4 separate regions of the Mus musculus genome follow, and all the other regions are reported to be linked to region 2. Evidence: microRNA targets listed by miRTarBase, many of them from high-throughput screens and not tested one by one. Region 2 holds a microRNA gene; each other region holds the end of a gene's coding sequence.

Region 1 (7,120 bases), not on the chromosome of region 2:
GGGTAGCCCTGCCAGCCTAGGGCAGCTCTCCCACCTCCATGCCAAAGTCTTTTCATTAAAGAATGTTTTGGAATGCCACTTGCTGCCCTGGCCTTTCTTCTCTCTCCTCCCTCTACCTTGAACAGGGAACCCAGGTGTCTGGTAAGGAAGGGAGTGGGGACTTGCTGATGCCATGGATACTCCACGGTGGCAGTGGACAGGGTTCTGGATTTGTGTCCTGGGAAGGGGCTGGGAGGACAGAGGTGGCCCCAGCCCTGCCTCTCTTCCTCACTCCCATTGCATGCACACTTCTCTCCTCTCTCCTTCCACCCTATTGCATGCTTCTCCTCAGATTTCCCTGCAACAATGTTCTCTTTCCTTCCTGTCCCCTCACAAATTAAGTCTCTCCATCTTTGCTCTTCCTCTTGATTGCCCCATAAGTGTCTAAGATTCAGGAGAGAGTTAAAGCCACAGCTCTTTATTTCGAAGGCTTCCTGGCTATTTCCCCCATCATGCCCTTCCTCCCAGCCACAGGTCTCCCAAGTCCCCATCACTTGGTTGTCTGGGTACAGACAGAGGTCACCTTCCTGCCCAATGGCCAGGAAGCTCCAAGAGCCCACAGCCTAGGTGCCGGTCCTAAGAAGTCAGTCCCAAACTCGCTGTCCCTCCTGAGCCTTGTCTCCCTTCCCAGGGTTCCCACTGCAGCGGCTCGGGGGACCCCGCTGAGTACAACCTGCGCTCACGCACCGTGCTGTGCGGGACGTGTGGGCAGCCTGCTGACAAGGCTGCCGGTGGAGCGGGAGCCCAGGTGGGCGGATCCATCTCCTCTGGCTCTTCTGCCTCCAGTGTCACAGTCACTCGAAGCTTCCGCAGTGTGGGGGGCAGTGGGGGTGGCAGCTTCGGGGACAACCTAGTCACCCGCTCCTACCTCCTGGGCAACTCCAGTCCCCGGAGCCAGGTGAGTCATCTCTGCCCTACAGCAGGACACTGCTCACTGAGCAGCAGGGCAGGGCAGCCCAAGGGAGTGGGGTCCCCCTCCTTGCAGTCCCTCTTGCATCCTGCCCCTCCTGTCTGAACCCCAGACTCGAGGTCAGGGCAAGGCCCAGAGTGTGAGGGTTGGGGAGACAACCCCCTTTGGGGTCAGGGAGGGAGAGGAAGGGCCAGCCACTGCTGCTCACACCTCTGCCTTCTCTTCTCTCTTAGAGCTCCCAGAACTGCAGCATCATGTAATCTGGGACCTGCCAGGCAGGGCTGGGGGCAGAGGCCACCTGCTCCCCCCTCACCACATGCCACCTCCTGTCTGCTCCTTAGGAGAGCAGGCCTGAAGCCAAAGAAAAATTTATCCCCTGCCTTTGGTTTTTTTTTTTTTTCTTCTATTTTTTTTTTCTTTTTCTAAGAGAAGTTATTTTCTACAGTGGTTTTATACTGAAGGAAAAACTCAAGCAAAAAAAAAAAAAATCTTTATCTCAATCCTAAGTCCTTCCCCTTTCTTTCCTTGTATCTGCCTTAAAACCAAAGGGCTTCTCTAGGAGCCCAGGGAAAGGACTGCTTTTTATAGAGTCTAGATTTTTGTCCTGCTGCCTTGGCTTTACCCTCATCCCAGGACCCTGTGACAATGGTGCCTGAGAGGCAGGCATGGAGTTCTCTTCACCAGCCTCCTCCAACAGCTGGCCCACTGCCACGCCAGCTGCAGAGAAATGGGGCGCAGAGAGGATGACTGAGAAGGTCAAGCCCCTCCCCGGCACTACACGAGGCCGAGGCTCCTCTGCCTGCCTTACCTTCTTCCTGCCCTTCCCTAGCCTGGGGCGAGTGGATTCCCAGAGGCAAATCTGCCGTGCTTGCTTTTTCTATATTTTATTTAGACAAGAGATGGGAATGACGGGGAAGGAGAAGGGAAGATCAGTTTGAGCCTACCTTTTCCCAGCTTCTGAGCCTGGTGGGCTCTGTCTCAATGATGGAGGGCAATGTCAAGTGGGATACAGGGAAGAGTGGGGGACGAAGGCTCCCAGAGATGGGGAGAACCTGCTGGGGCTGGTGAGAAGTCTAGAGGTGCGGCGATTGGTGGCTACAGCAAACACTAAGGAACCCTTCACCCCATTTCCCATCTGCACCTCTGCTCTCCCCTCCAAATCAATACACTAGTTGTTTCCATCCCAGATGCTGTGGTGTCTCTTTGTTGGGTGTGATGTGTGTTTTCAGGGGCAGACACATGCACACAGAGGTGCCACACATTCACTATATATTCACTACCCAGCTATAAAGGTGTGTATGAGGGAGACTTCTAGAAAGGTCAGCATATGTGGGGTGAGCGAGGGGTGTCCTTCCTATCCCTCATCCATCCAGCACCTTTTAAAAGGGGCCAGCAATCCACATGTGCATCAGACACAGGAGCACAGAGAGACGGAGGGTAGAGTAGGGGCCAGAAGTAGCAGAGCTTCCCTTGCTGCCCCTGTAGTCGCAGGGCTCTGGATGCTGTGATTGCCTCTGTAGGCCGAGATACTCTTAGGAAAGGAAAGAAAAGGTGGGGTGTGGTGAGTTTGAGGCTAATCTGGTATTCACAAGACCCTGTTTCAAAAGTCTTTCTTGGAGCCCAGCAGTGGTGATGCACGCCTTTAATCCCAGCATTTGGGAGGCAGAAGCAGGCAGATTTCTGAGTTCGAGGCCAGCCTGCTCTACAGAGTGAGTTCCAGGACAGTCAGGGCTACATAGAGAAACCCTGTCTCAAGAAACCAAACCAAAACTAAACAAAAGTCTTTTCCTGGGAGAAGAGCTGGGCGTTCAGTCAAAAGTGATTGAGGGCTGGAGCAATGACTCTGAAATGAAGAGAACCTGAGTTGGGTTCCCAGCCCCCCAGTCAAGTAGCTCCCACTGCCTGTAACTCCAGCTCGAGGACATACAACATGTCTCCAGAATGCCAAGTCTATGTACTTCACATATGAGCACCCACCCCACACACATGTACACCCGAATTCACATCCACACACAATCAAACCTTTTTAAATCATTGAACCAGTCATGCTATTGCATGCCTTTAATTCCAGCACTCCAGAGTCAGGTGGATCTCTGAGTTCAAGGCCAGCCTGTTTTACATAACAAGTTCCAGCAACCAGGGCTTTATAGGAGAGACCCTGTCTCAAAAACAAAACAAAAAAATCACAACAACAAAAACAAAACAAGAAACAAAACCCAAAGTGATTGAGTCCAAGAGATGTCTTCATTGGTAGAGACACGTGCTAAACCTAAACCCCACCCCTGAGACACGCATGGTGGAAGGAGAGAGCTAATTCCTGCACGTGATCTTCTGACCTCCATGTTGCCATATGCAGTGTGATTCCATTCTTGGGGAGATTGAACAAATTACTTATTTTTAAAACGAAAGAGAGAGAGAGAACCCAGCTGCCACTCTTCAACTGACTTACCAGAAGGAAAAAGAAAACTGGTTCTCCTCTACCCTGTTATAAAAACCAACCCTACCAACTGAATGTTCCTCCATTCTAGATCCCATGTGTCTCTCTATCCATCCTCCTGACCTCTCACTCTATGGTTTTTTTCCCTGTGTTCACTCCCTGTCAACTGGTTGCTTGCTCCACCTCTTGACCTGTGGTTGACTTTATTAATCTTGTTTACAATAAACAGAAAGCTTTTGAATTAAAGGTGTGTGCTAGAGCTGAGCTACACCAAGACTAGAAACAGGTTTTTCCAGTGTCCAGTCTTGGGGTTCACAATATGATATAACAGTGACTACTAATCTCAGACAGAAAAATGACAATAGATCAAAGTAAGGGCCACCAAAGCCCAACTTGGTGAACCAGTGAAGTTTATTGGGATAACTGACAGAGTAGAGGTGAGGGGTTAATGAATCAAAGATGGCTGCCTCACCAAAGCTCGCCCAGCATGGGTGACAGATAGCTCAGGAGAGCTGGGAACCTGGAGGTCAGCCCACAGCTGCAGGCAGCACAGCAGGTCAGAGAATGTCCTTTCCAGGTGACTCAGCTTCCAGGCAGATCAACTAGTCTCTGCCCTCGAGCAGCTTAGTCTGAGTGTTTCTGAGTAGTCCTTACTGCTTAGATATCTCGAGGACAGAGACAGCCACCTGGTCAGTTTCAGGAACTTCCTGAAGCTATTAAGTTAATTACTTTCTGAGCTTAACAAGTTATCCTGCCGGGCGGTGGTGGCACACGCCTTTAATCCTAGCACTTGGGAGGCAGAGACAGGTGGATTTCTGAGTTCGAGGCCAGCCTGGTCTACAAAGTGAGTTCCAGGACAGCCAAGACTACAGAGAAACCCTGTCTCGAAAAACCAAAAAAAAAAAAAAAAAAAAAAAAAAAAAAAAAAAAAAAACAACAACAACAACAAAAAAAACAAAAAACAAAAAACAAAAAACAAGTTATCCTAGCAAGATAGAGTGTTTCATCTTCTGTCAGACAAGCAGGACATCCTGCTGCTTTAGACCCAGTACTTTTGAGACAATGTCTCACTGTGTATAGCTGGCTATCCTGGAACTCCCTGTGTAGACAGACTCCCTTGATCTCCCAGAGATCTACCTGTCTACCTCCCTAGTGCTGGGATCAGATGTGTGGGATCACCATGCCTGGTCCTAACATTCTGTGTGTTAATAAACTTCCCTGTGCATGTGAGAGCGTTTCCCCACAGAGGCCAGAAGAGGATGCTAGATCCCTCAGGTTGTATTTAACAGGCAGTGTGATGTGGAGAATCAAACTTAGGTCTTACACACAGTCTGAACTCTTAACTGTTGAGCCGATTCTCCAGCTCCAAGATGGAAGGTTTAACTCTCAAAGGAAATTGCTACACATTGCCCCATCCACAGTAAACAAATGTAATTTTAAAAGTCACTTTAATTATTTGAGAGGGCCATCTGTAGGCAGGAGCACGTTTCTAACATCCTGGCTGCCCTGGTCCATACCCAGCATGGAAAAAAAAAAGACATCACGATGTGGCCCTTATCTCTGTAATCCCAGCACTTAGGAGACTGGAGTAGGAGGATTGCCATGAGTTTGAGACGCTGTTTCAAACAAACAAACAAACAAACAAACAAACAAAACAAAACAAAATAAATACATTTAGGGGCAGGCTGGGGGAGAGGAAGAAATTAACGAAAGGAGAAAGGGCTCTGGAATCACACTGAAAGTCCGTGGCATCTCCTAAGCTGAGGCCCCACAGCCTCAGGAGAAGGGAACAGGAAGAGGTAGAAGTTGGTGAGAATCCAGCCCAGGTGTGTATCCTCTGCCAGCCTGCCAGCCCTGCACAATGGCAGCAAGGGGTAAGAGAACAGTTCACGCACGGTCCACTCTTCTGGGATGTACAATGTACATACATGCACTTTCCAGCTAGGGCACCAGGGGGCGCCAAGAGTCTCATCACGCCGCCTCCCCACCCCGCCCCGCCTCAGGCATCAGGAATGGGTAGGGCAGGCTCAGAGCAGACTGGGAACCTGAGAAAGGATAAAGCCTGAGGCCTTACCTTCACCTGCACCCACAGGTCTCAAAGCCAGCTCTTGCCAAGCGCCAAAGGCCATTAAGGCAAGTGGTAAAATACCAAGGTAAACTGGCCTTGAGGGTAGATCCGCAGTTACCCTCTGAAACCCTTGGAGATAGACACAATTTAGCATTTGGGCCTCAAAGGATTACTTTGTCTATATTTTTGTTAAAGAATGTAATACTGGCATTCATTAATTTTTTTATTATTGTCCATGTAGTACTTGGCCATGATAGAGAATACAAAATGAAAAAATAGCAATCGAGATCTCACTGTCTTATGTATATTTACTTTCCAATTTTCTTCTTCTTCTTCCTCTTCTTCTTCCTCTTCCTCTTCCTTTTCCCCTTCCCCTTCCCCTTCTCCTTCTCCTCCTTCTCCTTCAAGATTTATTGTATGTATGTATGTATGTATGTATGTATGTATGTATGTGAGTACACTGTTGCTATCTTCAGACACATCAGAAGAGGGCATCAGATCTCATTAAGATAGTTATGAGCCAGGCGGTGGTGGCTCACACCTTTGATCCCAGCACTTGGGAGGCAGAGGCAGGTGGATTTCTGAGTTCGAGGCCAGCCTGGTCTACAGAGTGAGTTCCAGGACAGCCAGGACTGAACAGAGAAAAAAAATGGTTGTGAGCCATTATGTGGTTGCTGGGAATTGAACTCAGGACATCTGGAAGAGCAGTCACTGCTCTTAGCCGCTGAGCCATCTCTCCAGCCCTACTTTTTTTTTTTTTTTTAATGTTGTTCATTTTAATTTTCTTTGTTCCTTTTCTTTTTTCCTTCGAGACCGGGAATCAAACGCAGGTGTCAGGCTTAGTGGCAAGTGTGCTTATCTTCTGAGCCATTTACCTATGTCGTTGGCTTAGTTCTGAGCCAGTCCGTCTCTGCAGTAAGATATGACAGGAGAAGGGTGAGGCAGTGGGTCACATTGGGTCCTAGAGCAGAAAGAGACCATGGCTGACACTTTTGCGCCTCTCTTATTTTTTCTTAGAGGCTCATCATATGTCTCTGGCTAGCTTTGAGAATTCACTGTGCAGTTGAGGGTGACCTTGATGCCACCTCTCTTCCCTGAGTTCGAGGCTCCCAGTCAGGAGCCACACCAGCACAACTGGTTTCCATGATGCTTGGCCCCAGGGCTTTGTAGATGTTGCGAAAGCCCTTGGCTAAGCTTCCGCCTCACCCTCTTTGCTCTTTTCCTTTTTATTCACTCTAGGGGGCGCTGCCAACCTTAGTTGAACATCTCTAGAGCTGCCCCACTCCAGACATACAGAGGTGTGGTTCAGGTCGCTCCAAACAACGGCAGGTGGACAACAGAGAGCATCACACTGGCTGTGGTGGCACACACTTTTAGTTCCAGCACTTGGGAGGCAGAGGCAGGTGGATATCTATGAGTTCAAGGCCAACTTTATCTAGTGATCAACCTTATGCAGGCCACCAGAGATACATAGTGAGACCCTGTCTTTTTTCGTTTTGTTTTGTTTTTTTCAAGACAGTTTCTCTATATAGCCCTGGCTGTCCTGGAACTCACTCTGTAGACCAGTCAGGCTGGCCTCAAACTCAGAAATCTGCCTGCCTCTGCCTCCCACGTGCTGGGATTAAAGGCAAGCGCCGCCACACCCGGCTTTTTTTTTTTTAATGTA
Region 2 (7,120 bases):
AGCAACCGTAGCTTACAACCATCTATAAAGAGTTCTGATTTCCTCTTCTGGCATGCAGGAGTACATGTAGATAGAGCATTCATGTACAAACAATAAATAAATATCAAGAAGAAACAACAAAACAAAAACCTTTAAGGGGCAGTGAGCCTGGTGTGTGGCTCAGGCCTGCCTTTCATTAGTCTGAAACAAGGCAGGAAAACCTGGCCAGTTAAGAGGGGGTAGCCTGGCCTACCTACCTAGTAAATTTAAGAACAATCCGGATAGTAGAGCATGAAACAAAAACAAAAAAAACAAACTAAAAAACCAACAACAAACAAAAAACCCAAAAAGCCACAACAAAACCCTAGCTAGGGTATGTATATAAATGCTATCAAAAACAGGCGGTGGAGTTTTTGTTGTTGACAACCAACTATTGCGGCTGAATTAATACCATGGGAAAATGGTCTGAAAACAATTATTTGAACCAGGATTAGGATAGGTGGCCTTAAAGAAAATGGCCACTTCAGTCTCTCCTTAACGGGGTTTTGAAAAATAAAGAAACAGCTTGCAATCTGAACCTGGGCCTGGGCAGTGACCAAACACCCTAGTCCAGTTAGGAGTCTTAAGCAGTTACGCCCTTCTCAAAGATGGCCGAATTCGCTTCCCTCACTCGAGAAGAACATTCCAACCACTCTCTAGAAATTAGAAGTTAATCTTATCCGTACTACTTCGATGCCAAAATAAAAATGGCAATCTTAACCACTCAGCCATCCTTCCTAGGTGAACACAGACCGGCGCTGGTATTTAGAGGTGTGGTTGCCCGGAGTAAAAATGGCGCCGCCTCCGTCTAGACTTAGCTGGACGTGAAGTTGTGACGTCGCGGCGTTGCCAGTCGGAGGCAGTTCCTGTTGCCCTTGCTAAACATGGCGCTGGCTAGCGTGTTGCAGCGGCCGATGCCGGTGAATCAGCACGGGTTTTTTGGGCTCGGAGGTGGTGCAGATCTGCTGGACTTGGGTCCGGGGAGTCCTGGTGATGGGCTGAGCCTAGCCGCGCCGAGCTGGGGCGTCCCGGAGGAGCCGCGAATCGAAATGCTTCACGGAACCACCACCCTGGCCTTCAAGGTGCTCAGACAGCTCGCGCTTCTCCGGCATCCCAGCCGGAACCGGGTCGGGCGGAGGTTCGGTCCCCTCCTCCCGACCCTTGGCGGGTTCACTGTCTCGTAGCCTTAAGAAAGGAGAGGTGGGCGGAGATAGGGGGCGGTGAGGGAAGGAGACGGACAGCGTGGGTTGGCTCCTAGGCGACCCCAGTTTGCCCCTTTTCAGGAGCCCTACCTGGGAACAGCGGACCGTGGCGGAGGGTGCGGGGGGGAAGCCATTGTCGCCGTTCACCAAAGTTTGTATAAACTGAGCTTGATGAAGTCCAGGGGCTACTGAAGTGGGTACCGAACAGTTAGGGTCCCTGTTCCAGCCCTACAATAACTAGCTCTGGATCTTAGGCTAGTCTTTAAAGATTTATTCTTATTTTTTGTATATACACCACGTGTGTAGTGCTCGCAGGCGCCAAAAGAGGGCGTCGTGTTCCTTGGGACTGGAGTTACAGACCTTTGTGAGCACTGGGAACCGAACCTCTGAAGAGCAGCCAGTGCTCTTAACCACTGAGCTCTCTCTCCAGTCCCCTTAGGGTGTCTTTATCTCATTAAACTTGCTACTTCATATTTAAAGTGAGTAAAAGGGCTATTCATAAATCAGGAACTGCTGTTAAACCCGAATGACATTTAACATAAGAAGTCGATTACGCCGGGTGGTGGTGGCTCACGCCTTTAGTCCCAGCACATGGGAGGCAGAGGCAGGTGGATTTCTGAGTTCGAGGCCAGCCTGGTCTACAAAGTGAGTTCCAGGACAGCCAGGACTATACAGAGAAACCCTGTCTCGAAAAACAAAAACAAACCCCAAACCCCCCAAAAAAGAAGTCGATTCCAAAATCCCAAAAGATGCAAAGCCAGGTTATCTTTCTGTATTTATACAAAAATAAAGTATGGGGAGTATTTGTGGTCTTACGGGGCCTCTCTTTTTGTTTTCTCTGACCTTAACTAGTTTCTCCATGGAGTCATTGTTGCAGCGGATTCCCGGGCCACAGCAGGTGCTTATATTGCTTCCCAGACGGTGAAGAAAGTAATAGAGATCAACCCGTACCTTCTGGGCACCATGGCTGGGGGTGCAGCGGATTGCAGCTTCTGGGAGCGGTTGTTGGCTCGGCAGTGTCGAATCTATGAGCTTCGCAATAAGGAACGCATCTCGGTCGCAGCAGCCTCCAAACTGCTCGCTAACATGGTGTATCAGTACAAAGGCATGGGGCTGTCTATGGGCACCATGATCTGTGGCTGGGATAAGAGAGGCCCTGGTGAGTTGTGTCCTGTGAGCCATGGTGGGAAGGGGTTAAATGGGTGGGAGAATTGAGGGCTTTTAACAGGTGCTGGGAATGGATGCGATATTAGGTTCTCAGCTCTTCCTTCCCTTTCCAAGGAAGGCCTTGTACGGAATAGGAAAGAGCATAGAGTTAGACTTGCTGTGTCACTCACTGCTTAGTCATTTGACCTTAGCCTATTTCTTCATCTGGGAACTGGTTAAGTGAACCATTGAAGCGGTTAAGTGTGGTGCACATAGAGCAATTGGTACAATGTCTGGCACAACAGCTCTCCTTCTTTCCCATGCAATAATGACTAGAAAACATTTGTACTGGGGAATTGTAAACTTTAAAAATTGTGTTCTATTCTAGCCAGGTGTGGTGGCACATGCCTTTAATCCCAACACTTGGGAGGCAGAGGCAGGCGGATTTCTGAGTTCGAGGCCAGCCTGGTCTACAAAGTGAGTTCCAGGACAGCCAGGGCTATACAGAGAAACCCTGTCTCAAAAAACCAAAAGAAAAAAAATTGTGTTCTTTTCTATGCTTGGGTGTTTTGTCTGCATGTATGACTGTGCACCACAGTGCATTCATGGTGCCTGAAGAGGCCAGAGAGGGGATTGGATCCTCTAGAATGCAGTTACTGATGGTTGTGAGCCACATGTGGGTGCTCAGAGCTAAACCCAGGTCCTTGGCAAGAGTGGCCCGTCCTTCTTCCCCCTGCCCTGGGGGCCATCTCCCCAGCCCCCCCCCCACTTTTAAATTTTAAGTTAAATTATTTATTTGTGTGTGTATGTGTGAACAAACACATCCTACAGCATATCTGCAGTTCAGAGGATAACTTGTTCAAGTTGGTTCTCTTGTTCTGTGGGCCGGGCTCAGGACATCAGGCCTGGTGGTAAGCAACAGTTATATGCTGACTCACCTCACTGGCCCTCATTGTAAAAAATAAATAAGCCAAGTGATACACAGCTGTGACCCTAGAGCACTAGGGAGGGTCAAGAGTTCGAGGCCAGCCTAAGCTGTATGGCAGAAGGACAGCCTGGAGCACACAGAAACATTGTATCTCAGAAGTCAGTAAAACTAGTGGAGTTGGTGTATAGTTAATTTTATATAAAATGCCCAAATTATTTCTCAGTACCTGGCGGTAGTACCATTTCAAGTGTTGAAGTCAGTTTCATGCAGTCTCTAGCCACTGTGTTGCATGACAACGATAGGCTACAGAGTTGTCATTTAAGCGTTATCTCCCACCATTCCTGAGTCCTGTGCTTGACTTGGCCAGCATGCTTGCCTTTTGGAGTTGCCGAGAGAGCAGGAGGGATGGTTAACATACTGTGAGGAGAGATGGGTGGTATGGTGCTCTGGAATCTGGAAATCTCAAGATAAATTTGACTCTGTCTTTCTCTGATTTCTTGAAAATTTGTTTCTTTATGAGTTTCTGTATGGGTATGTGAGTGTTTGCATGTGTATATGTGTGTATACCACTTGCATGCCTGGTGCCCACAGAGGACAGAAGAAGGTATTGCATCCCCAGAGACTGGAGTTACAGACAGTTGCGAGCCACCCCGTGTATATTGGGAACTGAACCTGGGTCCTAGACAAGAGCAACAAGCACTCTTAACTGCCGAGGAAGCTTTCTAGCCCGTTTTGTTTTGAGACAGGGTTTTATGTAGCCCAGGCTGACCTCAAACTTAATACATAGTCAAGCCTAGCCTTTAACTCCTGATCCTCCTGCCTTCACCTCCCAAGTGTGCTGAGATTTGTTTTTGTTTTGTTTGTTTGTTTGTTTGGTTGGTTGGTTGGTTGGTTTTTTGTTTTTTCGAGACAGGGTTTCTCTGTGTAGCCCTGGCTGTCCTGGACCTCACTTTGTAGACCAGGCTGGCCTCGTACTCAGAAATCCTCCTGTCTCTGCCTCCCAAGGAGATCCTATTTTTGTCGGGGTGGGGCGGGGTGGTGTGTGTGAGAGAGAGAGAGAGGGAGGGGTGTTAAAATGACGTCTTTTTTCTCGTTCCCTGCTCACCTCATCCCCTCAGGCCTCTACTACGTAGACAGCGAGGGGAACAGGATCTCTGGGACCGCCTTCTCAGTGGGCTCTGGCTCCGTGTATGCTTACGGCGTTATGGATCGAGGCTACTCCTATGACCTGAAAGTGGAGGAGGCCTATGATCTGGCCCGCCGAGCCATCTACCAAGCCACCTACAGAGATGCCTACTCCGGAGGGGCAGTCAACCTCTACCACGTGCGGGAGGATGGCTGGATCCGGGTGTCCAGTGACAATGTAGCTGACTTACATGACAAGTACAGTAGTGTATCTGTCCCCTGAGGGAAGGTGGATGCGGTTGTCTGCATCTCTAGGTGGGTCTCCATGGCTATAATAAATAATAGTACCTCTTTCAGAGTGGAGTCCACAGTTATTTCAGTGCCTTTGTGTCGCGCCCGCTCTCGACCAGCAAGAACGACGCGACCACCAGTCCTTCTAACAGCAGTTTATTCAGTCCTGATTCTTCTTGTTTATATCTCCCCCGAACCCTGGGCCTCTCACTCCTTTTATACTCTCTCATCCACGCACCGCAGGCCACGCCCCCTCGCCAGTCACGAGGCTTCAGCTAATCAGGGCAGCAGGGGCAAATCTCCACCAAATTGGATTCACCTGTATCCTGGTACACCTGCGCAGCACTCAAGATGTTTGTGTCTTATATGAGGAAGTCAGGTGCAAGTCATATGACTTAGCTGCAGTCCCTGGCGCCTTTGGGACTGCCGCCACACCCGCTCCCCACACCTTTGTGAGGCTCTGAATCATGGGTAAGAATGTTACCGGGTGGGGTGGTGGGCTCTGATGCACTCGCTGCTTGTGCTGTTTCTTGGGTGCTAAAATTGTACCATTTCTCAGCCTCTTGTCCACACTGCCCCTCCTTTCAGGCCAGGACAGTGAGAGAGAAGGCACTGTAATTACAGGAAATGGTGGTCTGAGGACAAAGTCTGGTGAATACATTAATGTCCCCAGTCCTGAAGCTGACAGCAAAGCAGGAGAGAAAGGTGGGGAGGAGGGGAGACTTCTTGCTTCAGTTTGAAGAGGTGAAAAGTTGAGGTGGAAAGATGCACAGGGATGTTGTGGGCGGGGCTGCAGAGGGAAGGTCTTGTGTTTGGGGTAGGAGGAGACTATGCAATGTAGAATGATAAACAGGATAAATCTGGGAATTTCTTTTCTTCATTTGAGCCCTGGCTATCCTGGAACTCACTCTGTAGGACAGGCTGGCCTTGAACTCACAGGGACCCACCTGCCTTTGCCTCCTGAGACCCGGGAGTCAAGGTATGTGCTAACACACTGGGCCAGATCTGGAGTCTTGAGTGAGATGGGAAGGGAAGGCCTGAGCCCTGAGAAAGTGGAAGCCTGTGTAGTCCTCTTCTGTTCTCTCAGGGCACGGATGCGCCTGCCACTGAGGAGGAGAGGCTGGCTTCTGGCCTCTGGGGCAGGAAGCAGCCCAAATGCTGCTAGAATGTGTGGCTGGGAAGGTCCCTGCTGAGCACTCACACTGTTGGCTTCACACCCCACCCCGAGGTGGTCTGTGAGCAGAGGTGGGGTTGTCAGGAGGATGGACCATAGACTGCGAGTGAGTAGAAGTCAGGTGGGTCTGGCTCCCTGGACTGCAGCTCCCTTCTCAGCGCCATGCAGTTTGTGTTCTGATCAATGATGCTGTCCATGGGAACTGATCGAGGCTTGTTAATTGCATTTGTCAAGTGCAGGGAAATTGTGGATTAGTGAGCCTGGAGGACAGAGTTTGGAAAACAAATGACTCCTTTGCCTCAGCAGATTCATTTTGTTGTACAGCTCTGGAGCCAGAGGACCATTAGCGAGAACCCAAACAGACTGTACATTTTAAAAATTAGAATATTTTGGCTGGAATGTAGCACAAATGGTAGAGTGCATATCTAGCATTTAGGAAGCCCTAAGTTCAAACCCTAGCCATTCTAAGCTACATAATAAATTGGAAGTAAGGGTGAGGTTTTTTTTTTTTTTTTGTATTGTTTTTGTTTGTTTGTTTTAATTCTCTTAAAAGCTGAGCCATCTCTCCAGTCTTAAAAAATATATTTAGAATGTTTAAAAATAAATCAACTTGACTGGGCAGTGGTAACACAGGCTTTTAATCCCAGCACTTGGGAGCCAGAGGTAGGCGAATTTCTGAGTTCGAGGCCAGCCTGGTCTACAAAGTGAGTTCCAAGACAGCCAGAGCTACAAAGAGAAACACTGTCTTGAAAAAAAAAAAAAAAGAAAAGAAAAAAAAAAAGGCTGAAGTGGAGTCTCAGAGTGCATAGCCCCCATCATTGTACTTTTACAGCCTCTGTAACATTCCCTGGGACCCCAAAGAACACTGTTTGAAAACTGTGCCTTGAAGAGGGAACATGCTGAAGACAGATTCCAGTTCATTACTCCAGAGGGCAGGACACACAGACACTGGATGGGCTTCTCGCCCCAGGTCTCCTCACACTGCTTTGGCAGTGGTCTCTGTTTCCACCCCTGATCTGCAGAGTCCTGTAGGAGAGAGGATGTGAAACCTGAAGACCTAGAATTTCCTGGCATATTCCTATTCTAACCTGGGTCGGTGGTACAAAAGTCGTTTAATAGGAGTCAGTGTGTGATAGGTCAGTACCCAGTACCCACAGTAGGCAGCTCACAGCTTACTCTAGTGAGTCCAGTGCCTCTGGCCTTGAGGGTACCTAAACTTCCACACACACACACAGA
Region 3 (7,120 bases), not on the chromosome of region 2:
TGTTTTTATAAATAGGATATTGAGACTGTTGATGTTTAGAGTTATTAATGAGCAGTATTTTTTAATTCATTATATTTTGTTGTCTTTTTTCACTAACTGTTCTATGGTTATTTATTCTTCATGTCTTCTAGACTGTAGTTCTCTGCAAACTTGAGTTTTCCACCTAGTGCCTTCTGTGTAGCTTAATCAGTGCACAGAAAATGCTTAAATTTGTGTTGTTGTTGTTTTAATCATTTTAATCATTTTTCTGTCTGTGTGATTGATATTTTTTGCTAGGTATGGTAGACTGAGTTGGGATCTCTTTCTTCTCAGAGCTTTTAGTATATCAACCTAGTCCTTCTATTGTTCATGATCTCCACTGGAAAGTCAGTGCTATTCAAATGGGCCTGCCTCCCTCTGTTACATAGAGTCCTTCCATGGCAGGTTTAATATCCTTTCTTTAATGTTTTGATTATGATGTCTTCCTGGAGCCCTATTATTTGTAGATACTGTCTTTTCATAGTGTCCCAGATATCTTGGAAGAACTAAAGAGACTCTAGGTCTGTACAAAAATCCTAATCCTGAGGGATGGAGGTGGGCTGGGAAAGGGGGCTTGGGCTGGCACATTGCAGACAGACTTAGGGTAAATCTCGAGAAACTGGGATGAAGCTCTGAATTTCTAGCTGAGGGGACTTGACTCAGAGACATAACTCTCCTTCTTCGGGCTGTTTTTAGTGAGCCCCATGGTTTTACAGAGGTTTTTGTCTGTTCATTCCCCATTACCTCGGGAATTGATTTTCTCATTTTCTTTTTCTTTTTCTTTTTCTTGGATTCATTCAATTCATGTTGTTTAGTTTTGTGTAATTTATTAGAGACTCGTTTGGTTATAACTTTGAGCTTTATTGCATTGTTGTCAGATCAGACACACTGAGCTATTTGAGTTATTCTGAACCCCAGTATGTGGTCTATTTTAGAGAATCGTCCATTGGCTGCTAAGTAAAACACACACACACATACACACACACACACACACACACACACACACACACACACGCATGTATGTATGTATAAGCTCTGAATACATACATACATATATATATATATATATATATATATATATAATCTTTGGAGCTTGAGCAAAATATCCTGTAGATATATGTGAGGATCATTTGATAGGTGATGTCATTTAATTCTGATGATGTCTGAGAGGTGACTAAGGTGACACCATCTTTTCTTGACTCCCTTCTGTGTTTGCTTAGACAGCTCTCCGTTCTCTACCCTCATGCCAACAGTCATATGAGCGTTAGTAACACATTGAGATTTCTATCATCCTGTCTATGGTTCAGATGTATTAATCAAAATAATTTCTCAAGTGAATTATATCATCCATTATTTTTGTCCAGATGGGCTGTGTCTTGTTGAAACCATCTATTATTGCTGAGCCCAGGATAATTTGCATCTTGAAATCCGCTGGTATGATTTTTATGAGGTTGGGTGTACCAGAATTTTGAATTGTAATGTCTTTTTAGTTAATTGTTCCCTTGAGCAAGATGAAATGGTCTTATTTATCTCTTCTGATTAATCTTAATTTGATGTTTAGTTTGTCAGATATGATGGCAGCAATGTCTGCTTGCTTTCTGGTCTAAATTGCTTTGAAAAAAATACTTTCATCTGTTCACCTTAAAGTATTGTCTCTTCTGAAAGTAAGATGATTTTCTTATAGATGAGAGAAGGATGGATCTTTCTTGCAAGTCCTTTCAACTACGTTATGCCTTTTGACTAAGGAGTTTCATTGGTATTAAAGCTTGAGACTTGCAGTTTTGCTTCAACTTTGGCAGACAGCTTCACTGGGTAAGGGAGTCAGGGTTGGCATTTGTGGTGTTTGTAGAACTTAGAGTAAATATACTGCTCTCTTCTGGTTTGTTGTTTTTATTGAGAAGCCAAGTGTTATTCTGATGAATTTTTCCTTTATAATTTATCTAGAAGGTTATCTAGAACCGACAGAATGTGTGTGTGTGTGAGTATATGTATATATGTGCATATGTGTGTATATATGTATATGTGTGTGAGTATATGTATATGTAAGCAAGCAAAGAGAGTGAACCTTCTTCTTCCATATCCTGCGATTTTGCTCTTACCAGTGCGCAGGAATCGGAACCACATCCCTGAAGCAGGGATCTAGCGATTTCGCTCTTACCAGTGCGCAGGAATCTGAGGCACATCCCTTAAGCAGGGGTCTAGAAGGTTCCCTCAATAGCATGGAGCCCCAAACCCCTTGCTACGCTCATGCAGCCAGGCTGTCTGCAGGCCTGAGGCTTGGTCTCAAAACAACACATTAGTGGGTCGATCATGACCTCTCAGTCCCCGCTCCACCCCACTCAAAGCAACCCCAGAGCCGGCTTTCTCCATGCCCTAACTCCACCTGTGCCTGCTCCATTTAGCTTCCCGAAAACATCCAGTTTCTCTGAACTTGACAAGAGGTCATTTGGAGCGGGTCATCATGACCTTGGGCCCCACTTCTATCCCGCAAAGGCATAATGGGTATTTGCAGAGTGGTCCCTGACTGAGGAAGTCCAAGGTCCCGCCCACTCTTATCCTGACGCTACAGCACTCTATGGAGCCTGTCACTGAGTCAGCAGCACTGGGAGTTGAGCAGGATCCAGCGTGGTGGGGGAGAGACGCTGTGTGTGTGTGTGTGTGTGTGTGTGTGTGTGTGCGTGTGTGTGTGTGTGTAGGGGGCGGAGATTGTTTTTGATGCTTGTTTTGGAGGGGCGACTGGGGGCTGTCCAGACTGAGACACACCCTCCCCTTCAGCCCCTCGCTTCACCCCTCAACACATACTCTGCTGTGGTTTAAAAAAAAAAAATCTGGAGAAATGAATGGATTTCTCAGCCACTAAGTTCTCTTCTTTGGCTATGTTGTCCCTATATTAAGTCCTCATCCATCTCTCCGCTCGTGTGCATGAGCACACACCCTTATGTGCGCCCCCTTCCGCAAACTGAGACAGTTTGAGGCTCAGGAAGGGCAAATTAATCCTCCCCCCAGCCTCCAAATAGATGAGAAATGCCTCTGAAAGGGAAGGAAAGCATCCCGGAAAGGAGGGAAAGAGCTGGACCAGGCAAGCAGAGGCAAGCAGTGGGCTGGGGAAGTGGACTGTGGGTCGGTGCACCATGGGTGAGATTTTCAATACAGTAGAGGCAAGACGGAGAGAGATGGAGAGAGAAAGGAAAAAGAAAAGGAGGGAGCAAGGAGAAGACTAGGCAGCAGGCAGGGGTAGCGATGGGATCGGAGTGGAGTGCAATTAGCCAGAAACTTAGAGAAACTAGGTTTGCAGGGACAGAAATGGGGCAGAATAAATACCCCTGGGAAGGGATGAGATTGCTCAGGCAAAACAAACTCAACGGAACAACAGAAGTGAGAAGAAAGCAAGTAGGGTGCTGCCTGTGGGGAAACGAGTTGAGTAAGAGGAGGGAGCCCAGGGCGGAGCCTAAGATGTGGACACGAGTGGTGACGAAAGAGAGGGGCGGAGCCTGAGGTGTGGCGTTACCTGGACCAGCACCCACAGGGTAGATGCAAACAGCTCACAGAAATTCATTGCCCACATCTGACCTCTGAGAGTGTCAGACACACATATGTGGTGCATATACATACACTCAGGCAAAACACTCATACACAAAATTAAAATGTAAGGGTCTTGGAGAGTGTACTCATGAGACCCAAGAGTTGAGGAGGTGAAAATTTGAGGTTATGTGAAGAATCAGACCCATTCACTCATTTAATGGTCGTTGCTCGTTTTATTATTTGTCCAAAGGCGTTGTATTGGACCGAGGTAGACAAGATAACGTTACATCAGAAATGAGCCAAAGGACTGTTCCTTTTGGGAAAAAAAAAAGCCCTTAAACTCTGTGCTGCCTTTCAGTTGGATGCTGTAACCGCACCTACCCTTTGGGGGCTCCACTTTCTATCCCCTCAATTACTAAAGCAGATAAAAGGCTGGAGGTTACACTGTTATTGAGAGGTATCGTCTGATAGGTAGGAACATTAACACCCACAAGCGTTTAAAGCCGGCTTTGTGAGCTGAGCCATGAGCACGTTGATGTTCCCTAAGAACAGGGCACAGTCAGTCTAAGCCGTGCCTTAGCCATTGAAGGCCTGGCTCTGTCCTCATCTCCTGGTGCCTTCTAGTATTTAAATCCTTAAAATACTTGATGAATCTTGCCTTGTAGTTCTTGATACAAGTGTCATCTACACAACAACCAGTCAGGAAGGATACATCCCTTATGTTTTGTTTGTTTTGTTTTGTTTTGTTTTCAGACAGGATCTCATTACATTGCCTTGGCTCATCCAGAACGCAGAAACCATCTCTCTCTGCCTCCCTGAAGCTGGGATTAAGGATGTGAGAGAGACACCACCACCAACTGTTCCTCTCCTTTGGAGATGCCAAGGGCAGGCTCTGAGTCCACTTGTCCAATGCATATGCAAATGAGTGAGTTGTAAATGTCTACTTTTCTGCCTGGTTTCTACCGGATTCCGAAGGGATTGCTTTGCACAGAGCTGACTTTATCGTAAATATGTGTATTAAAGTGGGCGAGTTTTCTCATTCTCATCACATTGACTCTAGAACGACTCCAATCCCCGGAGACTAAGGCCTGCTTGCAAGGTTGCCCCCCCCCTTTTTTTTTTTTGCTTGATTCATCAGAACACAAGCAAGAGAATGCATCCTAGCTCAAGAAGGGAGGCTGTTCTGAGCAGCTGCAGAAAGAGGTTGGAGGCTGGGCTGCTCAATTTAACCAAAATGCCTAGTCAGCAGAATAACTCTGTTTCCATTCCTCTCGAGCCAAGGGCCCAAGAGCTCTCTCTGATTCACCCAGCTTTTCTCAAGCAGAGCACTCATTAACTAGATCGCTGAAAATCACTTCCTCCTGTGTCTTCTCTGGCTAATTCTAACAGTGTTCGAGAAATAAATATCTCAAGGAGAAGCAGCAGCCCGTGCGTGAGCCTTGAAGACACCCCCTCTTACATTCTTTGCTTCTGTTCCTCCCTGACTCCAAACTTCTCTTAAATAGAGGTTAAGTTGTAAGATGTGTATTAACACAGTCACCAAAAAGAAAAAAACAGTGAAAACTCGTGAACTGACAGGCATGGGGACATCTGTCTGAACCCTGGTGCAGGCGCTAACCTCAGAGGCAAGAGCCAAAGTGTGAAGCCCTTTCCAGAGGCAGCAGGAACACCTTCAGGAAGCTCAGTAGCCTCAGGTCGGCAAGGTAAGCAACAGCCTTTTCTCCTCCGGTTCTTTTTCCTGGGAGAATGAGAGGCTCAGCAACCATTCTTCCCTTTGATGAAAGCCAAACTAGGATGACAAGAGTAACTCCCAGGGCTGTGACCCCTGTCCTGATAGTTTTAGCACGTGAAACAAAACAAGACAGAACCCCACGCAGCACGAACCACCATCACATTGCTCGAGGTCAACAACAACAACAAGTCACTGTCCCTTTCCGTCTCTGTAGGGGAAGGGAATTTCCTCCCAGGGATTCAGACCTAGATATACAAATCCACAACTGTCTACATCCCAGGAATACCAAGGAAAACTTTGTACACAACTCAAGCCATTGTTACACCATCCCACTACGACTCCCTGTACCACTCAGAATACGTTTAAACAAAACCAAAACTCATACCGTCCCCACTACCCTTATCCCTAGAACACAGTTCCTAGAAAACCTAACTTGTACATTTCGCACTGAGCATGCTGTCTTCAAAGACCCTGCACACGTACACACACGGACACAAAAACACAGACAAGAGAAAGCTCTGTTCAAGGGGATAGTTTTTCCTTCTGTGTGGGCCTTGATTACTTGGGTAACAAAGTTCACTCTTTAGCTCTGTAACCTGATCTCTCAGCTGTGTGTGTGTGTGTGTGTGTGTGTGTAGCATGTGTGCATGTGTGTGCATATGCATCCATGTGGTTGTGTGTGGTATGTGCATGTTGAACGTGTGTGTGTGTGTGTGTGTGTGTGTGTGTGTGTACAGGATGAGGGACTATGAACTGGGAGTGAAAGCTCACTCTATACTTTTCAGAGGGAGGAGTGAGAGGCATGTGATCACAGGGGAAGAGAGAAGAGGAAGAGAGGAGGCAGACCCACATGAGAGTGTCTGGCCCCTTGCTCTCAAGCTCCGAATGCCTGATCACCATCTCTTTCCTGTTTCTTCCTTTCATCTTAGCCCAGTACTTCATGGAGTCACCCATTCTGTAGAATTTGATGTAGATCTTGGAGCCAAACAAATTTAGGAAACATTACATGAATAGAAATTGACTGTGGGGGTTCTCAGAGCCCTTGATATACTAACAGCCGCTTTCACTTTCTCTCTGTGTAGAGTAAATACTTGGGAACTGGTACCACATGGACCCCAACCAGTGAGAATGGACCTCAGCTATCACTGCTGGTTCCCTTGAGAGTAGGTTCAGCATGAATAGCCTCACACATACATACTTTGCACCATTTCCCACAATTTTGCCCAGAGAACTCTGTTTTCCCACGTTGTCTCACAGAAATGGTGAGAAATACTCTGGCCCTCAGGGTACAGGAGAGGGCCAGCTCTGGCAGTGGCTGCTGGTAGCACCGGCTGACAGATATGACCATGGCTACAGAAGAGACAGATTTCAAAAGGCAGCTGTCCTTCTGTCCCAGCTGCTCCCAGGACTCTGTCCCTGGTGGGTCAGCAGGTGCCTATCTAGGTGGTGCTTGCGGCCAAAGCTCTTCTCACAGCGAGGGCAATGGAAGGGCTTCTCCCCGGTGTGGGTCAGCCAGTGTCTCACCAGGTGGTGCCTCCGGCCAAAGCTCTTCCCACATTCAGTGCACACATGGCACTTTGGCACGGGAGGCACGCAGTGCTGAGCCGCAGGACTCTCTCCAAAGTCTTGGCCCTTGCAGGACTTGCTGTCTGCGTGCACTCTCTGGTGGCTGGCCAGGTGCGAGCTGCATCGGAAACTCTTGCCGCACTCAGAGCACCTGCTTGGCTTGTCATGCAGATGGGTTTTCTGGTGCCTGATCAGGTGGTGCCTTCGCCCAAAGCTTTTCTCACACTTGAGGCAGCTGTAGGGCCTCTCTCCAGTGTGGGTTTGCTGATGTCGGGCAAGGTG
Region 4 (7,120 bases), not on the chromosome of region 2:
GGGAAAAAGATGGAGGAGGGAGGGATGAGGAGAGAAGTCACCAGGCATAGAGAGAAAAAAGAAGAATAGCCAGGCGTGGTGGCGCATGCCTTTAATCCCAGCACTTGGGAGGCAGAGGCAGGTGGATTTCTGAGTTTTAGGCCAGCATGGTCTACAAAATGAGTTCCAGGACAGCCTGGGCTAAAAAACAAAAAAAAAAAAAAAAAAGAGAGAGAGAGAGAGAGTAAGAAAAACATAAAGTTACATTTCACAGATTGGCCTGTATATGACATTTTTATTTAGGAAACCAGTATAAGCCATCTGTTAGGCCATATGGTTAAAATGATGAGTTAGGTAAAAGTCTGTCCTCCTGTCCTTCTGTCCTCCAAATGAGCTCACCAACAGTAGCTAGAGCAATATCGACAAATGATCTAACAGAAAGTCAGAGAAGATGCCAAGAGAAGGTCAAGAGTCTGAAGTTTGGATATGGTTTAAATTAATCTCCTAAAGCTTCAAGTACTAGAAGTCAGAGCTGTTTAAGAGGTAGGGAGTAGCCAGGTGTGGTGGCGCACGCCTTTAGTCCCAGCACTTGGGAGGCAGAAGCAGGTGGATTTCTGAGTTCGAGGCCAGCCTGGTCTAGAGAGTGAGTTCTGGAGAGATGGTTTAGTTACCACAGTGCTTGTCCTTATACGCACGAGGACCCAAATTCCATCTGGGAGACAGTTTGAGGGTAAGAGGTGGACAAGGAAAGAAAAAGCAGGCTCCCGTAGATTGCTGTCTCTTGTTCACAGAAGACATGGGGAGAAATGGCAGAAAAGCACGGGGACAGGCATCTGAACAGGACACCCATAGTGGGAAGAGGAGACCCCAGGGGCTCTAGAAAATTATCAAACCAGAGTCCATCAGGGTTTCCAAGCTGTAGTCTTTTATCCCTAGGGATAATTGTGTCACTTTCCCATTCTCCAGGGCTTGGTCCTCTGTCTTTCCTTGGTGTTCAACATCAGGGAGTGAGCTTGATGGTCTTCTAGATGGCCACCAGTGCCCTTGTTACACTACTGAACACTGCTCGACCAGGGACCAGGCTGCCTGTCACAGCTCACCACCCCACAAGTGTTGGCAGTTTTCAGTAGTGTAGCTGTGAGTTGGCCATACTCTAGTCAGTAACCCTAATAAACTAGTTTTTGCCAAACTGGACGTGCCAGAGTTTCATTGTCTGCAACTTCTGACAGCTTATCTTGACTTGAAACATAAACACTGTCTCCCTGTACATGCCCAGGTTGTAAAGCACCAGTCCTCAAGTTATGACTCTTGACCCCATAAGTTTGGGAAACATAATTACATAAGGATTCTATCTCCTAACATTAAGACTCTGTATTAGTCAGGGTTCTCTATAGAGCCACAGAACTTATGGGTAGTCTGTATAGTAAAGGAATTTGTTGACTTAGTCTGTTGTCCAGCTCCCCAACAATGGTCAGCAGCAGCTGTGAATGGAAGTCCAAGGATCTAGCAGTTGCTCAGTCCCACAAGGCAAGCAGGCGGAGAGCTAATCTTCCTTCTTCCAATGTCCTTATGTAGGTCTCCAGCAGGTGTGGCCCAGATTAAAGGTGTGTACCACCACACCTGGATCTGGGACTTGCTTTGTCCCAAGCTGAACTTAGAGACCTCCATGCCTCCTACTTTGCCTGGGCCTAAGCTTTTCATGGCCACTGTGCCGCAAGAGCTCCATGCCAAGATCCAGGTCAGAAACTTGTGTCTTCCAGCCTCAAGATCTGAATCACAGGTGAGCCTTGTAATTCACTCCAGAGATAGTCAAGTTGACAATCAGGAATAGCCACTACAGACACAACAGCAAAATTAGTTATGAAGTAGCACTGAAAATAATCTTATAGTTGGGAGGAACTGTACTACAGGGTCACAGCATTAGGAAGGTTGAGGACTACTGTGATAAAGGGTTTGCCATTTTCCCACAATCCCACTTTATATACAACATTATGACAATCCAGGTGGCTAGAGAGCCATCCAGCCCTGGCATTGTGTACTGGACCTTGGCTAAAGAACTTCCAACAGGCTAGGGCTAAAGACATGGCTCTCCACAGTTAAGAACCCTTACTATACAATCATAAACCTGGAGTTTGAATTCCATTTAACATGCCAGGAGTCTGGAGTGGAATTGTGTTTTTGAGATAGGTTCTCACTCTGTAGCCCTAGCTGACACTCCAACAATTTTGTAAACCAGGCTGGCCTTGAGTTTTCAAAGTTCTGCCTGTCTGTGCATCTTCTAAGTGGTGGTTTTTACAGGCATGAGACACCTGTCCTGGTGTTTGCCTGCATGTATATCAGTATATTGTGTGCAGTCTCTAAGAAAGCTACAAGAGTGTGTCAGATCCCCTGGAACTAGAATTACAGATGGTTATGTGGGTGCTGAAAACCAAATCCAGATCCTCAGTAAGAAATGCTCTTAACCATTGAGCCATTTCTCCAGTGTAGATGACTATTGCTTTACTCTATAGCCAAATTCACAGCAGTCATTCTGCCGGAGATTACAGGCATGTGCCACTAATCAACGTTTTTTTGGGGGGTGGGGGGGAGCAGGGATGGGGATGGGGCATAAGATTTCATTTTGCAGTTCATCCTGGCTTTGAACTCTTGTCCATCTTCCTGTCCCCCAAATCATGGTGTTACAGACCTGAGCTACCATGTCTAGGTTTGGAAAGAGCTTTAAAAGTATCTAATCACCCCTACTTTCACCAAGAATTAGCACCGTTAACCTCAGAGAATAAAGGACAACTTCATACCACATATTTAAGCACCTCTAATCTCAAATGATAGGAATCTTTAAGGTTTTATCACACCACTTATTTTGTGTGTCTGTGCCAGACCACATATATAGAGGCAGAGGACAGCGTGGTTCTCCTTCAACTATATTGTGTTGCAAGGTGAAAAGGTCATTTGGTGGCAACATCCTTCATGGGCTGAGCCATCTCACCTATAGTTTTTGATATTCTGCTTTTTAAGAAACAGTCTCTCACTGTAGCCCTCCCATGTTGGGATTGAAGGATGGCTCTATCCTACCTAGCTCATAGGAATCTTTTAACAGGTACTCTCACTGGGATGGGTTTATTTCCCATCTCTTTATTCCCATCAGTTGTGAGGCAGAGGCAGACAAATCTCTTATGAGGACATCAAACAAAATAATGGAAAATCTGTTTCCAGTAACTCAAGTCAGGTGGTCACACAGAGGCAGAAGACAGTTTTTGTCCATTATGATTTATTCTCTACAATACTTCATTCAGGACTCTTGATGACGTGTACTCAGAAGTTATATAGCCACGAGGCAACCAAGTGTAATACAAGTAATTGGTCTGAAGTCTTTGCAGTGAAGGCCATACAATCTCTTCGGGGAAACAAACAAAACAAAACAAAACAAAAAAAACACACAAAAACAGTTTTCTAGGCTTCAGAAATCAATGGAAAGTAACACTATTAGTGAAATTGTAGATGTTAACATAGCATGGAAAACAGATTTTGCTCAAAATATTAAAATTAACACCCAAGACTTTTGTATAGATGATTTATTATAAACAGTAAAATATACGTAATGTCTCAACTACAAACCCTTTTTCATGTGTACAGGGTTTCTAACATGAGTTATTTTAACATTAGGAAGCAAAAACATTTTAAGAACCTCACAGTGGAAACAACCCAACACTAACAAACTCTAATGATCAAAGACATTCGCTTTTAGCTCAGGAAAACAAGGACAATTCATAATTACAGAGTATATGTCCTAGCTGTGGGTATGATGAGACAAGCCAACTTTCCAGACCAAAAGGCACTCACAGCTAGGGATGAAACAAATTCCAAACCAAGCCAGCAGTTTAGCTGGCTCTCTGAGAGCAGTGGGGACCTTGCAGCCTATAGCTAAAGGAAACCCAGGGCAGGAAACGGTCCCTTTCCACTACCACTAACTGGCCACCCTTATCACTGCTTTGGTCAACGTATGGAAGGCAGCTCAGTTCTAATTCAGAGCTTGACCTCCCTATGCAAAGCCCCCAAGTGGACAATCCACAATTGCTTTTTCCTGAGAGCTATCTGCCACATGTTCCCATGAGGTGACCAAGACTGTACTTCAACTTGTGAATGCCTATGCTCAAGTCAGGACTGACACCAATAGAGCCCATGTCTTTTGGGGCAAATAATTTTCCTTGCTGATTTCCAGGTCTCCTTGACAAGGCAGGAGGAACTTGAGCATTTGCACTGCAGAACTGCATTGGGAGCACGAGGGAATGTGCAGGAGTAAGGCGACTTCACTCTGAAACCACTGAGCCCACTTCAGTGTGATGCTGGGCCTTGCTAGCTGGATTCTTGTTTACCGATTCCCCAACCCCACCTTTCTGGGTCTTTCTGTCATTTTCTTAAATGGCAAGTATTCTACCCCACCCTCAATAAAACAAAACACACACTATACATTGGGAAAGACAAGATAGGGCAACATTTCTACAAGAAAAACAGGCTTGAGGAGCATGGCACTGTAGATGCTTGCATGACCAGTCTCACTGAGTGCTCAGGGGTGAAGTTTAGCACCATTTTTTTTTTTTTTTTGCATTTTGCTTTAAATCTTTAGAAATTAAACAACTCTTAACATAGAACGCTTGAACAGTAATGAGTGTAGCCCTATGTATCAATACTGTTTTACAAATTGGAAGTGGGTACCTCAGTCCAGAGCTGAGCACCCTGCATCAATCCATGGCACCTGAGAGCACCTGCTGTCACATGTCAATAACATAGCCTTCATTCCCCTCGGCAGGCAGCATGAGACCCCTTCATCCTAGGTATGTGAAGGAACCCACCCTGGCAGTAAGGGCCATGCATCCTGGGCATTCCAATGTCATCAGCACTTCCCTCATCCATTCCAGGTCTGTCATCACTCCTGGTACAACCTCTCTGCCCAGTTTTAAAACAAAACAAAACAAATGAAAACCGCAAGAACTTTGAAGTGATGCCTAGAATAGCACATATGGAAGTAGATCTACTTCCCTTCCTCCATTCCTGGCACAAGAAACTGATGAGCTAGGACTTGAATATTTGCCCATTTTGGAAAGCCACACCATCACCACATCAATCCTAAAAAAAGAAATCAAAACATATGTTCACCAGGTTGAGGCCACATCTGCCTCCCGAGTCTCTATGAATGTTGCTGAAAACCAGTGCGCCATCCTCAGGAGCCTTTCTTCCAGCCGGCCGTTTCCTTTGAGTTGCCTGAGCAGTCAGTGCCTTTGAGACAGAGCTGTCAAAGCACCTCCCTAGTTTCCTAGTACTACACGTTTTGCCACCAAATGAATGAAAAGAATTTGCTATCAGCTATTTTGGAATGAGTAAAGATGGGAGCGGGAATGTCAAGAGTTTAAATGAGCAACACGAACAGTTTGGACATTTGCACTGGTGAAGTGAGGAGTCCCAGTATGGTAGGCAAGTTAAAGGTTCACCTTGTTTTATTACACAGCATTGTTCTAGTCCTACTGAGGACTGATATAGCAAGTCTTCCTACTTCTGCAGGCAAATCAGAATAAAGAACTCCCCTACTTAAAGGTCCCTCAGGATGTTTGCCTGTGAAGAAAACCAGCTCAGAGACCCTGGAAGCTCTCCTGTGACAGTATGTCCTAAAGCCCAACCCAACCACCTGTTTACATGTCTGTGCTTCTGAGAACCTAGATGCAGCTACATAGGCACTGCTACCAGAAAAGAGTTGAGGTAGCCGGGTGGTGAGGAAGAGATCTCTCCTTTCACACCTGCTTACGACGATGACATTGGGACCTCTATAGGCATCTCCATTCCATTCCTCAGCAGGCTATGCCACAGAGCTCACAGCAGGAGACTCAATGCAGGAAGAGTACCAGAATGTCCACTGAGAGTCGGGTAAGCATGAAAACCTTCACAGCTTACTGTACGATGAAATGTCATCACAGGATTTCTGATCTTGGTTTGAGAATCTTATCCAGGACTCACAGGGGCTCATGGTGCCCATGTTCAACCCTAACATGGTGTTCACTTCTGAAGCATGGAGGTTGTGGATCAACTCTTGGTACACAATAAACTGGAAGTTTAAAAAAAGGAATTTAAAACAACCTAAAAGTGGTTCCTGTTGGTCTCCGTTGCCCAGACTGCCAGGGAGTACAGCTAATTGATGTGGCGGGCTGTGGGGGATTGGGGAAGAAGCCTCCATGGGTCACAGTCAATTCCAGTTTTCAGTGTGTGGCCAATACTTGTGGGAAATCACCAGACAACGGTCTTCTGAACCCACACAGCCATTCTCACTGGTTATTGGGGAGCCCTGATCCAACAGAACCCCAGATTGAGGAAAGGCTGATATAAGGCTTGGGCCCCTCATGTTCTGTTGCATTCAATGTATCCCCACACCCTCCAGTCAGCAGGAGGCAGACTTGGCAACGGAAGCTAGCATCATAAAATGGTGCAGTAATAGAAGTAACTGGACCAGGAAGAGGAGGCATCTGCTCCAATGATGTCATAGCCATTGGTGGCCACAGGGGGGTGGGACTGGTCATGTAGCCGTGTGTCAGGAGTAATGATTGTAGAGGGGCGGGGCATGAAGAGTGCCATTCTGGAAACAGTGCTGTCGAGAAGCAATATACTCTGCATAACTGATTGTCACCTTCTCACTTCGATACCTGTATGAGGAAACAGGCAAAGTGTTAAGAAGCCCAAATATCTCAGTGTCAAGAGTCACTCAGTAGAGAAAACTAAAGGCTTATCCCACAGTTCCAAAGAATAAAATGGAAGACCAAGAGCAATCTTACAGAAAATGAAAAGACGGCACAAGAAAATGACGTTGTTATTACAAATGGACACGATGAGAAAGCACAACCACAGTTCAGCCCTGAGAATGCATCTCAGCACATCCCACCTCAAAACGCTACATATGCTTATCAACAGGCTGCTGGTAAGCAATCTGCTCCCACCATCTGCATGAGGAATTCCAAAGTCAAATTACATGGGGGACAGATTGGAAGATGGCTTCACCAAAACCCAGTGTAAACTGCGTTATCTACGTTCAGGTTAAAAGTGAGATAAATTTGACAGAAATGCAACCTCAATTTGTAGAAGAGCAACAAACAAGTTATAA

The links. The annotated mature microRNA mmu-miR-686 reads AUUGCUUCCCAGACGGUGAAGA and lies in region 2 at 2,127-2,148, shown strand. An mRNA with a match to its seed (bases 2 to 7 or 8) in the 3' UTR can be bound and repressed. Matches are read on the target gene's strand: a 7mer-m8 pairs with bases 2 to 8, a 7mer-A1 pairs with bases 2 to 7 and ends in A, and an 8mer does both.
Region 1: miRTarBase lists Lmna as a target of mmu-miR-686. Seed matches in the 3' UTR shown: 7mer-A1 at 1,420-1,426.
Region 3: miRTarBase lists Zfp641 as a target of mmu-miR-686. Seed matches in the 3' UTR shown: 8mer at 5,004-5,011 and 7mer-A1 at 4,662-4,668.
Region 4: miRTarBase lists Ammecr1l as a target of mmu-miR-686. Seed matches in the 3' UTR shown: 7mer-A1 at 4,586-4,592.

The regions. Positions count from the first base shown.
Region 1 is chr3:88,476,163-88,483,282 of GRCm38, reverse strand. It overlaps Lmna (lamin A), which reads left to right. Exons shown (of 12, transcript NM_001002011.3): 11 at 671-937; 12 at 1,183-2,135. The coding sequence ends at 1,209. Among named protein-coding and RNA genes, the nearest start is that of Gm40089, 14 kb to the right of the region's middle.
Region 2 is chr14:54,611,774-54,618,893 of GRCm38, reverse strand. It overlaps Mir686 (microRNA 686), which reads left to right and starts at 2,109; the gene lies at 2,109-2,217. It overlaps Psmb5 (proteasome (prosome, macropain) subunit, beta type 5), which reads left to right and starts at 899. Exons shown (of 3, transcript NM_011186.1): 1 at 899-1,100; 2 at 2,073-2,379; 3 at 4,413-4,774. The coding sequence starts at 903. The coding sequence ends at 4,702.
Region 3 is chr15:98,281,832-98,288,951 of GRCm38, forward strand. Zfp641 (zinc finger protein 641) reads right to left here. Exons shown (of 6, transcript NM_173769.4): 6 at 4,291-7,120. The coding sequence ends at 6,641. It overlaps Gm33967 (a long non-coding RNA gene), which reads left to right. Exons shown (of 4, transcript XR_001781762.2): 3 at 4,294-5,243. Among named protein-coding and RNA genes, the nearest start is that of Zfp641, 11 kb to the right of the region's middle.
Region 4 is chr18:31,780,189-31,787,308 of GRCm38, reverse strand. Ammecr1l (AMME chromosomal region gene 1-like) reads right to left here. Exons shown (of 8, transcript NM_153515.4): 8 at 3,226-6,665. The coding sequence ends at 6,554. Gm26533 (predicted gene, 26533) reads left to right here. Exons shown (of 3, transcript NR_165792.1): 2 at 1,555-1,759; 3 at 4,787-6,075. Among named protein-coding and RNA genes, the nearest start is that of Gm26533, 5.3 kb to the left of the region's middle.